Linked DNA regions of Caenorhabditis elegans. The protein of the gene in region 3 interacts with the protein of the main gene of each other region in a pairwise test. Each region holds a gene or a part of one and is shown on either strand. Other genes may lie near its edges.

Region 1 (3,755 bases), on a different chromosome or scaffold from region 3:
GTTTGGAACACAGAACAATGTTTTCGAAAGTGAATAAGCGATCGTGGACGATTTTTTCTTGTATTTTTTTTTTAAGATTTGCAGAAAAAACCACAAATTAGAAAGTCAAAAAAAAACAACCGAAATTTCATTTCTTCACAGTTGAGCTGTAAGCGCGCTCTATCGATAATCAAGATTTGATAAAGGAACGAGATCCAAAAAACCTCTCTAAATTTATGAGAAAGAATTATCAAGTTCTCTATTTAAAAGATTTACAACAAATTATCTTTTGTTTAATGATTTGATAAACTTTTTCTTTGAGAATGCGAATAGTTTCAAGGAAAAGAAAAAGGGCTCCAATTTCAGATTTTCCGGAATGAGATTAAGTTTTCTAAAACATACATTTTTCTTTCAGTCGTGTCTTCTTCTATCAACATTTGCAAAGTGTCTGGAAAACCAGCAGACTGTGAAACTCCAAAACTTCCAGGGCACAAATTGAGAATATCGTTGGATCCGCCAGTAATTTCCGTCATTGTCGGCAGTTGAACTACTCCATTTTTTTCAACAACATCTGCTTCGGAACGCCTAAATTTTATTTATAAAAACTCTATCAATCAGAGATTTCTTTGAAAGATCTGACACATATGTTACACAAAAACCGCAGAAAATAAATTTAGATGAAACACTAACGAGTCGAAATTTGAAACAGTTGATCCAGGTCCTGATCTCTTCACATTATTGAAAACATCGTAAGTAAACGAGTCATTCAACAAGTTCACACTCATTTCATCGTCGGCTCGGCCATTATTCTTCTCATCTGAATCTTCTTCTCCGCTATTTTCAGGTTCATAGTCTTCATCATCTTCGCTTTTATATTCTTCTTCATTCACAGGTTTCTTTCCCTTCTTTTTTTTAAAAACGACATCTTCTTCCTCTTCTTCATCACTGCCAGCCTTCAGATGTTCATTATCCTCTTCATACATTTTCCGACGTTGCTCTTGTTCTGAAAACTCAAAAATTGTAAAAATTTAACACGAAGCCGATACCTTTCCGTCGCTTCGCTGACATCGAAGCTTGAAGCTTCTTTTTTAAAGTCTCGCTGGTCAGAACTGGAAAAAGTAAGTTAAATCAGAATTATTACGAACGAAACTAACGGCTCTTGGGTGCGTTCTTCGATATTTTTCGAGGAACGGCGAATAATTTAGCTTCTTCCGGACTTTTTGCCAATTTCGGAATTTTTTCAGCATTAAACGTCTTTTTGAACCATTTGTTACTTGGGTCATCATCTTCATTTGTCAGGTCAATCGTACTATTGGCAGATAATAGGACTCTCCCAAGCTTCGGAACAGGAAGAGGACTTCGTTCTAAAGCCAGTGCTTTACGACGATTAAGACGACGAAGTTTTCGGTCTTCTTCAGCTTGCTTATCGACTTCCGTGTTTTCACTAGATATCAGCTGCTCCTGAAATATGTATTTCGATCCAGTTTCGGTCTTAAAACCATTACCTGGGAATCGGACATGGTGTGTTCGGCAACTAGAGAAGATGGAGAATCTGTATCGTCTGCTGACACGGTTTTTGTTGAACAGGAATCAGAATTCATCTGGAAATTAAACTAAAACAATATTAAAAAGAAGTTTGGAAAATTTCAGTCTATAGAGCGTGATTTTCTTCGGTCAGTTATAAAGTACAACATTATGATAAATGTAATGGCCCTTTTTTGACTTTATTAAGAAAAAGTTAAACAGATTTGACAATTTTTTGTAGAAAAATAAGGAAAAAATGGCATTAAGATTCAAAAGTAGGCGCGAAAATGAATTGGTTGGCAGAGCGCCAAGTGTTTGAATTGGCGCTCTACCGTACTTTGCCTGCACATCTAACAGATCTTGCTGGAGGAGTTGACAACGCAAATTTCTTTACTCTTGTCACGCCGCTATCCTCTGTGCGGTCCTTTTTTGTTGTTGTATCTGAAGAGAACCCTACAAAAAACTAAAAATGGTGAGTATTTATCCCTCTAATTATTGTAACTGTACGTTCTGATGAATTGTCGTCTATTATTTTCGAAAAAAATTTAGGACAAAAACGTAAAGTTTCAAAATAATTAAATGAAATTAGCAAATTTTGGGCCTACTGAGATTTCGTTCCCGGATATGTTAATTAAATTAAATTTCAACTGAGAACCATTCAGTATTATCAAAATCTGAATTAAATTATGGATTTTCAGAAAAAATTTCGTTAGGTAAAATTTCATAATTTTTATCGATTGAAATAATTATTTTTTCCTCTTCAGGTCAACTTCACGGTCGATGAGATCCGTGCGCTTATGGATCGCAAGCGTAACATTCGTAACATGTCTGTTATTGCTCACGTCGATCACGGAAAATCTACCCTTACCGATTCACTCGTTTCCAAAGCCGGTATTATTGCCGGATCCAAGGCTGGAGAGACTCGTTTCACTGACACTCGTAAGGATGAGCAGGAGCGTTGTATTACCATCAAATCTACGTAAGTTCATTTTTAGGATTTCAGCTTAAATATAATATTGTTTTAGTGCTATCTCTCTTTTCTTCGAGCTCGAGAAGAAGGATTTGGAGTTCGTCAAGGGAGAAAACCAATTCGAGACGGTTGAGGTTGATGGAAAGAAAGAGAAATACAACGGTTTCTTGATCAATTTGATCGATTCACCCGGTCACGTTGACTTCTCGTCTGAAGTTACTGCTGCTCTTCGTGTTACTGATGGAGCTCTCGTCGTCGTCGATTGTGTTTCCGGAGTGTGTGTCCAAACCGAGACTGTGCTGCGTCAGGCTATTGCTGAGCGTATCAAGCCAGTTCTTTTCATGAACAAGATGGACCGTGCCCTTCTCGAACTTCAACTCGGAGCCGAGGAACTTTTCCAAACCTTCCAAGTAAGCTTTGTGTTTCAACTGTAACATTGTTATATATTTGTCGTTTAGCGTATCGTTGAAAACATCAACGTCATCATTGCCACTTACGGAGACGACGATGGACCGATGGGACCAATCATGGTTGATCCATCTATCGGAAACGTCGGATTCGGATCTGGACTCCACGGATGGGCCTTCACCCTCAAGCAGTTCGCTGAGATGTACGCCGGAAAGTTCGGAGTTCAAGTAAATTGATTGTTGTATGTTAAAATTATATAAAATATTTTTACAGGTTGACAAGCTCATGAAGAACCTCTGGGGAGATCGTTTCTTCGATCTCAAGACCAAGAAGTGGAGCAGTACTCAGACCGATGAGAGCAAGCGTGGATTCTGCCAATTCGTTCTTGACCCAATCTTCATGGTCTTCGACGCCGTCATGAACATCAAGAAGGACAAGACCGCTGCTCTTGTTGAGAAGCTCGGAATCAAGCTCGCCAACGACGAGAAGGATTTGGAAGGAAAACCACTCATGAAGGTCTTCATGCGCAAGTGGCTTCCAGCCGGAGACACTATGCTCCAGATGATCGCTTTCCATCTTCCATCCCCAGTGACTGCTCAAAAATACAGAATGGAGATGCTCTACGAAGGACCACACGACGACGAGGCCGCCGTTGCTATCAAGACCTGTGATCCAAATGGACCACTCATGATGTACATCTCCAAGATGGTGCCAACTTCCGATAAGGGACGTTTCTACGCTTTCGGACGTGTGTTCTCCGGAAAGGTCGCCACTGGAATGAAGGCTCGCATTCAAGGACCAAACTACGTTCCAGGAAAGAAGGAAGATCTCTATGAGAAGACCATTCAGCGTACCATTCTTATGATGGGACGTT
Region 2 (3,755 bases), on a different chromosome or scaffold from region 3:
CAAATCCAGCCTTCAACAGTTCTTCCCCACGGATCACTGTTATTTTTGATCCAGTCGCATTTCCAACTTTGACTGCTTCATCAACAAGAGCATCAGTAGTCAGGATATTGGCTGGAGTATCGATGAGTCTTGCGGTTTCACGGACCGATTCTGAGAGATCAGTAAGGAAAACTGCATCCTCGTTGGTGAGCTGCAAAGAAATTGAATGTTTGTTTTTCAATTAAAACAAAACAATTAATTCGGATTTTGAGATTGAGATCTTGAAGGACACATAACTTTCTTATCAACGGAAGTTCATGAAGACCGCCGAATTTTGCAGAAGCTATCAAATGATTCTACTAGTTCCTCTTTTTTAATTTCGTCACACTACGCAATAAACTCTTATCGTATTTCTACATTATCAGCACACAATTCCAGAAAAGAATAGTCTCCAGGCTGACTTTGCAAATAGAAGCAAGCACATGGTGTCTGCTGTCTATCAGTGATGATAAAACTATACAGATCAATATATCAAAATGAAGGATAGTTGTCACATACCTTGTCGCAAACCACATCGATATTCACATTCAGTTCACGAATTCCTGAAGTTTTCATCGAGAACTTGCAGAAGGTCCGAGCAATAGCCGCAACGTGAGAAAGAACATCTGGATATTCAGCAAACAGCACAAAATGAACATTCTTTGTATCCTCAGGATAGTTGATTGGTTTTAACTCCTTATATATCGAATGAGCATTAGTGGGGGTATTTCCACGTGAAGAGGCATCTGGGACAGTGATCAAATGAGCCAGCTCGTAGTGAAGAGGATGACGTCCTGAGGCGGGGATTCGAGAAATCATAGAGTTCCATGAGTCGCCATCTGAAATTATTTTTATATTATGGAAAAGTATGAACCATCTGCAGATGCAAAATGTTGTTCTCTTTACACCAACCATACGGTACCAGGTCTCGACAAGAGACATTTTTGTAAACTACAGGGAGGTGTGGGTCTTTTAGAGTACTGTAATTTCAAAATCTCATTTATTCTGAATGGTTCATGATTTTCCATACATACCTGTGCGGCATTTGGTTTCGGCATTTGAACAAAATGCACTTTTTCATAAATATGAAAATACGTCATACGGCATACGGCATACGGCATTCGCCATACGGCATTTGGGTGCATATCTCGAGCAGGGGTAAACTTTTTTTGAAATTTTTTTGACTGGTGACAAGCCTAAGAGTCAGGCTTCTCATCGTATGCTATTTCATACATATACGTATTTTCATATTTATGAAAAAGTGCATTTTGTTCAAATGCCGAAACCAAATGCCGCACGGGTATGTTTCCATAGTCTCTTCCGCGCTTTGTTAAAATGTATGTGTTTTTATTTAATATATGTTTAATATTTAGTATGTATATAGATATCTCTAGATATATATGAATTTTTTTAAACGAAAGTGACCATGTACCGTAATTTTGGACAAAAATCAAAAAACATCGCGTTTGTGTAATCTACCAAAACCGAACCTGTAACAAACTTTTGTGCGACTTCTTTGAATTTTCCTTCGAAAGTCACATTTTTCAAGACACTCTTCTTTCCAACAATGATTAGGCTAGTCAGGCCATCTCCAACAGCTTGAATCCCGTTACGAACGAGGACTTGTGTCATTTTTAGGTGACACTAATCACTGAAATTAGAAACTTTGAAAACCTTTTGAATTAAAAAAAAACAAAGTTGGAAAGTATAAACTATAGTATTCAGACTAAAAAAGGCAAACTCTTTTTAGAAAAAAGGTGTAAAAATTATTACTCAAATAAACCGTTTATCAGTTCCTCCAGCAGGTAGAGAAAGAGTGACCAGAGAAACATAAATGCGAGAAAAGGATGATAAAAAATGGCGAGAGAAAATGTAGAGCAAAAAAATGAGAAATTGAGAGAAGGAACAAATCTTCAGGGCGCGTGTTTGCATACATTCGTGGTCTAAAATTTGAGAGGTTGTGAAATAATGAGGAGCGAAATTTAAAATTTTAATTAAGTTCAAATCAACTCCTATATTAAAGTTGCCTAGGCATAAATAAATTGATAACCCTCACAATCCCGTAGAGTAAAAAAACATGCTACTTCGAATATCTAATTGATTAGTGAGCTTCTAAAATTAATAAATAACTTTCGGTACAGAAAAATTCTAGCCAACTAATTGCAAAACACAATGAAAATGTTAGAAACTATGATGAAGCATGCAATATAGACTGGAATATGACATGAAAAAGAATTGAACATAATTAAACGGGGGCCAATGTCGCTTTCAACATCCGTACTTCTTCCAAAGAAGTGACACGTGATGGCTGATTGTCCTGTTTTCCCATTGACACCTTATTCAATGGAGCATTTTTCTTGGCAACAGAAGCTGAAGCATGATACCAGTGACATTTAGTCCATTCGACAAGATTCGCGACATTCGAACTGTTCACACCACAACCTGCGAGAACATCGATCTTTCCTTTGTGAAGTTCTTGCATTTCTCGAATGATATAAACTCCGTCGAGTGCTGACGGCTCTTGTCCACTTGTCAAAACAGCTTTGAATCCAACATCAATAGCGTCCTCAAGACAAGTTTTCCAGTCATAGGCGACGTCAATTGCTCGATGAAATGTGACAGGATGTGGACGGGCAGTTTCAATTATTGATTGACATGATGTACGATCCAATGAACCGGCTCTGAAAATTGAAATTTTTTGTGGATCATCCAGAGCAATCAACCGTTATAATTACAAAACTTCTTTCGTAATTTTGCCGCATGTCTATGCATTTTAAATGTTTTTTAAAAACAAGCTTTCCGCATTGTTCAAAAATTAAGTCAGCCTAAAAATAATTATTTAAATGTTATGTAAAATTTTTATTGATAAACTTGATTGAGAATTTATTTGCGGAAAATGGTGAAAAATTCGAAATGAAACAAGAATATGTTTTTCTTTTTTCATTTAAACATGTTGGAAATAAAATTATAATATATTTATTTGTTTCATTCAATTTAAAACTCTCCGACTTACGATGTTAATGCTCCAAAAACGAATCCTGTGGCACCAGCTTTTTTGAGCCATTCAACGTCTTCCATATTCGCTGCCATTTCGTCTTCATTATACACAAAATCGCCTGCCCGTTGGCGAATCATACAATAAAGTGGAATATCGGGATACTTGTAGCTCAGAATAGACACAAATCCGACGGATGGAGTGAGCCCTCCGAGTTGTAAAGCTGAGCAAACTTCCAATCGATCAGCTCCACCGGCAACAGCATTTTCCGCAGATTCCAGATTATCGATGCATATTTCCAGTTTTATTTGCTTCTGGGATTCTGTTTCTGTCATCTTAACACAATAGAGTTTGAGAAAATATGTTTTTAACATTGTAAAGAATAGGTATAAAGTTATGGTTTAAAATCCGAAAACTCAGCAAGAAAACTGAACATATCTGGGATAAATGAAAACTTTTATTCGATTCGAATTATAAACGAGCAAAAAATAAATTATCCATGGCGATGAACTTTTGGTGTTGGAATCACAGGCGACAAGAAATTTACATTATTACATGAACTGAGTAGAATTTCCATTGAAACTGGCTCGCTCTTCAGGATCGTCTTCATTCGGATTTTCAAGCCCTGCGACGTTTCCACGCTGAAAATAATTTCATTATGGAAAGAAAATAACAATGCACACAAACCCGACGAACTTCCGCACTCCTTGGCATCCCGCGTCTTTGTGGTTGTGATCCTGAT
Region 3 (3,755 bases):
ACTGTCTGGATCCAAATATGGCGGGATTTCCATTTTAATACCACTCCGTTGTAGAATCTTTGTAGTTGTATTCACTGGTGACATCATCGGTGTGTGCTCGTCGGGAACTAGAAGAGAAGTTGCTATTAGCTTCATGGTCAGAGAGAAATAAGGTTTGATAAGCAACGAAATTTGGCAACAATTCGCTTATCAATACGTGTGTTAGTGACTGCCAGACGGTAAACATCATGAGGTTCGTGTTGAAATTTTAGATTTTTTGTTGGCAACAAATTCTTTTGAACCTTCTATTGCACCATTTATGCATCATATTCAACGTTTTTTTTTATTTTCAAGCTATACTACTATGTTCGACGTTATTTACCTTCAGTTTTCGGAGTGATTAGCTTCAACCCGCCATTGAATGCCAATGACTTGTTGGCATCACGAGGTGGTTTCGTGTCCAATGTGATTATTGGTTTAAATTCTGAATTTCAGTTTGAAATGTAAAATTTAAAAAGCAACAAAACGGGGAAGGTTTTTAAAACAAAAAGGAAAATAAGCATATCAAACCAACACAAACCACCATACACCACGACTACTAATCACGTAGGGAAATTGATTTGGTTTTCACTAGATTTCAGTGTTTTACAGAGTTTGCATTACTTGAAAGTTTAAAAAAAATTGAAATTTGAAAATAGAAAGCGAGAATTAGGCAACTGTTAGAAATGCTACGATTTTATTTGCAATTAGAAATACCTTTTTAAATTGATAATGTTGCAGTTTTGCAGCTAATACCAAGGTTGTTTCAGAGTATTCTATGGACAAAATTGCATGTATAACTATTTTTGGTACTTGTGTATTATGCTTCCGCTATTTTAGAAATTAATTTTTTAACTTATAAAATAAAAACTTATAAAACTCGTATTTACCATTCCTGAGCCCAACGAAGAAAATAGATATCAAGTTTAATTTAAATAGATAAATTAATGAAAAATTGATTAATTTCAAAAATAGCGGGAACAAGTACCCTATTTTTTATTTGGTATTTTTTGAGTGCAAAATTAATTTTCAATGTAAGTAGATATAAGAGAATGTAAGAGAATTTTGAGTTCCGCACTACTCGTTGCCACCTTAAAATACTAAAATTTTCTCTAGAAATGTACTAGATTAGTATGTACAAAATTAATAGAAACTGCAAGGCTATTTTCCAACTAGTCACTTCGGGTGCAAGACTAATTGGAAAAAGAAGATGTCTGTTAACTTATCAACATTTGTTCTACTACCAAAATAAGCGATTTTCTGAATAATTCGAATCTATTTTAATTGATATTTTATATCCAACACGACACTCCAAACACTTCACTCCTATAGCTACTATTTAAACTCACCATTAGCCATATTTCCTACATTGAGCAGATTAAAACCTGCTCCAGCCCCGAGCAGGTTCCTCTCATATTCCTCTACATCAGGAATATCTTCCAATCCATGAGAAGGTTTTCCACCATAAAGCGGCCCTCCGGTGCTGGTACCGGGCTGAGAATAGTTGAACTGTGGCGGGATGGAGGTACCGGGAAGGCCTGTAAGTTGGGATATGGACTATGGAATTGGTTTTTTTTTCAAAACTGAAACAGAAGATCCTGTTTTTTTATTCAAACTGTAACTTTTTTTTAAATAACATTCCGAAAATAAAGTAATTTCAATAAAACAAAAACTCACCCGTTAAATTATGATGATCACCCATTTATGTGTACTCTGACTATTAATATTTTTCCTTTACAATTTGATTACCTGTAAAATTGAGTTTTGGAATAAAATTAAAACAACAAGGAAAAACCGGGCGGCAAAGAAGTAGGAAATACAATACCAGCATGGACAATAAAAGGTACAAACTGTGGTATAAACCTGTTTGTCTTTTTTTTTTGAAATATCATGTTTCGTGGTATTTTTGGGAATAAAGGGAGATTGTGTTTATAGGGGAAAAAAAAAGTTGAGAAAAACTTTAATTGTAAAGCTTGATATTTTGAGCTACTGTCAAGATTTTTTGGTGTTTTCAGTAAAAACATATTCAGAAAGGAAAACCAAAAAACCACAGATTTAACTTTTAAAAAATATTATGATTTCGAAAAGAAAATTGAAAAGAATTGTGTTAATAGGAACTTGTTTGGAATCAATTTAAGAGAAATAAAAAAAAGAACGTGTTCAAATACGGGGTATTAAAAGTAATTTTTGACAGTCTATTAATAATAATAATTGACAATTCGAAAATAAAAATAAAAATATCCCAAATTAAAAAAAAAAGATCGAAACCAAACCACTACTTGTTTCTTCGTCTTCTATCTCTTTTTCTCGTTACGCACACTCTATCTCGCTCACTCTTAAACTACGTACGTGTGTCTGCGTCTCTTCGCCCAGCACACTATTTCATTGCTAAAAGTGTGTTGAGGTGGCAGTGCTCGCTGCAAAGAATCGATAAGTTGAGCGTAGTTGGACCAACAAGTGAGAAGACGGGGGGAATAAGATAATGAGGGAACAAGTAGAGAGCTACAAGAGAGTGCACATGACCTCGGTTTGATGTTTTGATCTTTTTTTACTGAAAAAAGAGATTGATAAGAAACTTACAAAAAACCTCTCGTGCAAAACAAAGGAAAAAAAGAACTTCAAGCGTTTTTACCTAAATAATTGTTTTTTTTTATAAGGGTAGTTTGACCTATGCTAAGCATAAAATAGTGAGCTAACTAGAAAAAATAAGTGGTAGACCTACATTGTAAGTACTCAAACATCACAATTTTTAAAAAAAGATCTACAAAATGTATAGATCACTTTCTAGATGACTCATATATATTTTTTGTTTTCACTGGTCTCATCTCAGTTTGATTTTTTGAAATCTCGCCAAATTGATGCGTGTGATATCAGAATGTTTTGTATTAGATTTGTGCAATTGTTTCAGCGAAAAAAACGCTCAAATTTTGTGACCAAAACTGTGTCATAATTAATTAACAAGAAACCACTGAACTATTTGAACATAAACAGAAAAAAAAAGTTGGCTAGTCATTTGCTTTTGGCGAAAAAATTTTGTTTGCATTGATGAAAGTTCATTAGTTTGATCAAGCGGTCAAAAAAAACCGCAAATATTTGAATGAAATCCGTAGATACAATGTGGGCCGAAGGTCAGAGAGACCATGGCATTTTTCAGATAATTTTTTTTTATTGAAAAGGTGGCCACCATAATTCTGAAAAAAAAACCGCGTCTACAGAGAGTATTCAAAAAAAGTTAAATTTTTTTTGTAAAGTTGAAATAACAAATTTTGCCCAATTTAGTTATAACTGTTAAAAATTTGTGGTAGACATTTTAAACAAGAGGAATAAGAGAAATTTATATGAAAGTCGTTAAGGCATTTTTCATTGCACAAAAACTTACAAGATTAAAAAAATTACAATCTCACAGTCCAAACAATCAAAAAACAAATTCAACTAAAGAATCGCGTGATCTTAGCCTTGAAACCGTCAATTATTAACACCTCTAGTACTATAAAAGCGATGGTTTTTCAAAAGATTTTATCGTGAAAGATATCACAGCAGAAACAAAAAGTTCAATTTTTATTGAAGACACTTTTCTTGTACTCTAAACTTGTGAACACGGAATTTTAAAATGTTTACAGAGGCATATAAGATATGTGGAGCATTCATAAAATTTTCTTTAAGAAATGGGGATTTAAAAACTATTCATTAATTTATAACAAAAATCTGATATGATTGTGTTTTGAAAAAATATACTA

The links.
Region 1: the proteins of daf-3 (region 3) and eef-2 interact in a two-hybrid assay, tested with the Caenorhabditis elegans proteins (one study listed by BioGRID).
Region 2: the proteins of daf-3 (region 3) and lap-1 interact in a two-hybrid assay, tested with the Caenorhabditis elegans proteins (one study listed by BioGRID).

What each region holds. Positions count from the first base shown.
Region 1 is NC_003279.8:9,161,682-9,165,436, forward strand, and holds the start of eef-2 (Elongation factor 2), read left to right. Parts: upstream 1-1,895; 5' UTR 1,896-1,972; coding exon 1,973-1,975; intron 1,976-2,267; coding exon 2,268-2,482; intron 2,483-2,528; coding exon 2,529-2,883; intron 2,884-2,931; coding exon 2,932-3,108; intron 3,109-3,154; coding exon 3,155-3,755. Other genes in the region: clsp-1 (Claspin), read right to left, coding at 382-564, 670-982, 1,026-1,088, 1,134-1,440, 1,485-1,580. UniProt on the Caenorhabditis elegans protein: Catalyzes the GTP-dependent ribosomal translocation step during translation elongation.
Region 2 is NC_003281.10:8,400,260-8,404,014, forward strand, and holds the start of lap-1 (Leucine aminopeptidase 1), read right to left. Parts: upstream 1,670-3,755; 5' UTR 1,651-1,669; coding exon 1,509-1,650; intron 858-1,508; coding exon 538-857; intron 191-537; coding exon 1-190. Other genes in the region: cutc-1 (Copper homeostasis protein cutC homolog), read right to left, coding at 2,264-2,699, 3,032-3,348; ubxn-4 (UBX domain-containing protein 4), read right to left, coding at 3,565-3,654, 3,701-3,755. UniProt on the Caenorhabditis elegans protein: Probably acts as a digestive enzyme.
Region 3 is NC_003284.9:823,707-827,461, forward strand, and holds the start of daf-3 (Smad protein daf-3), read right to left. Parts: upstream 1,721-3,755; coding exon 1,696-1,720; intron 1,557-1,695; coding exon 1,368-1,556; intron 464-1,367; coding exon 362-463; intron 141-361; exon of another isoform or gene 136-140; coding exon of another isoform or gene 108-135; coding exon 1-107. UniProt on the Caenorhabditis elegans protein: Transcriptional regulator and common SMAD (co-SMAD), required to regulate entry into a developmentally arrested larval state known as dauer, in response to harsh environmental conditions.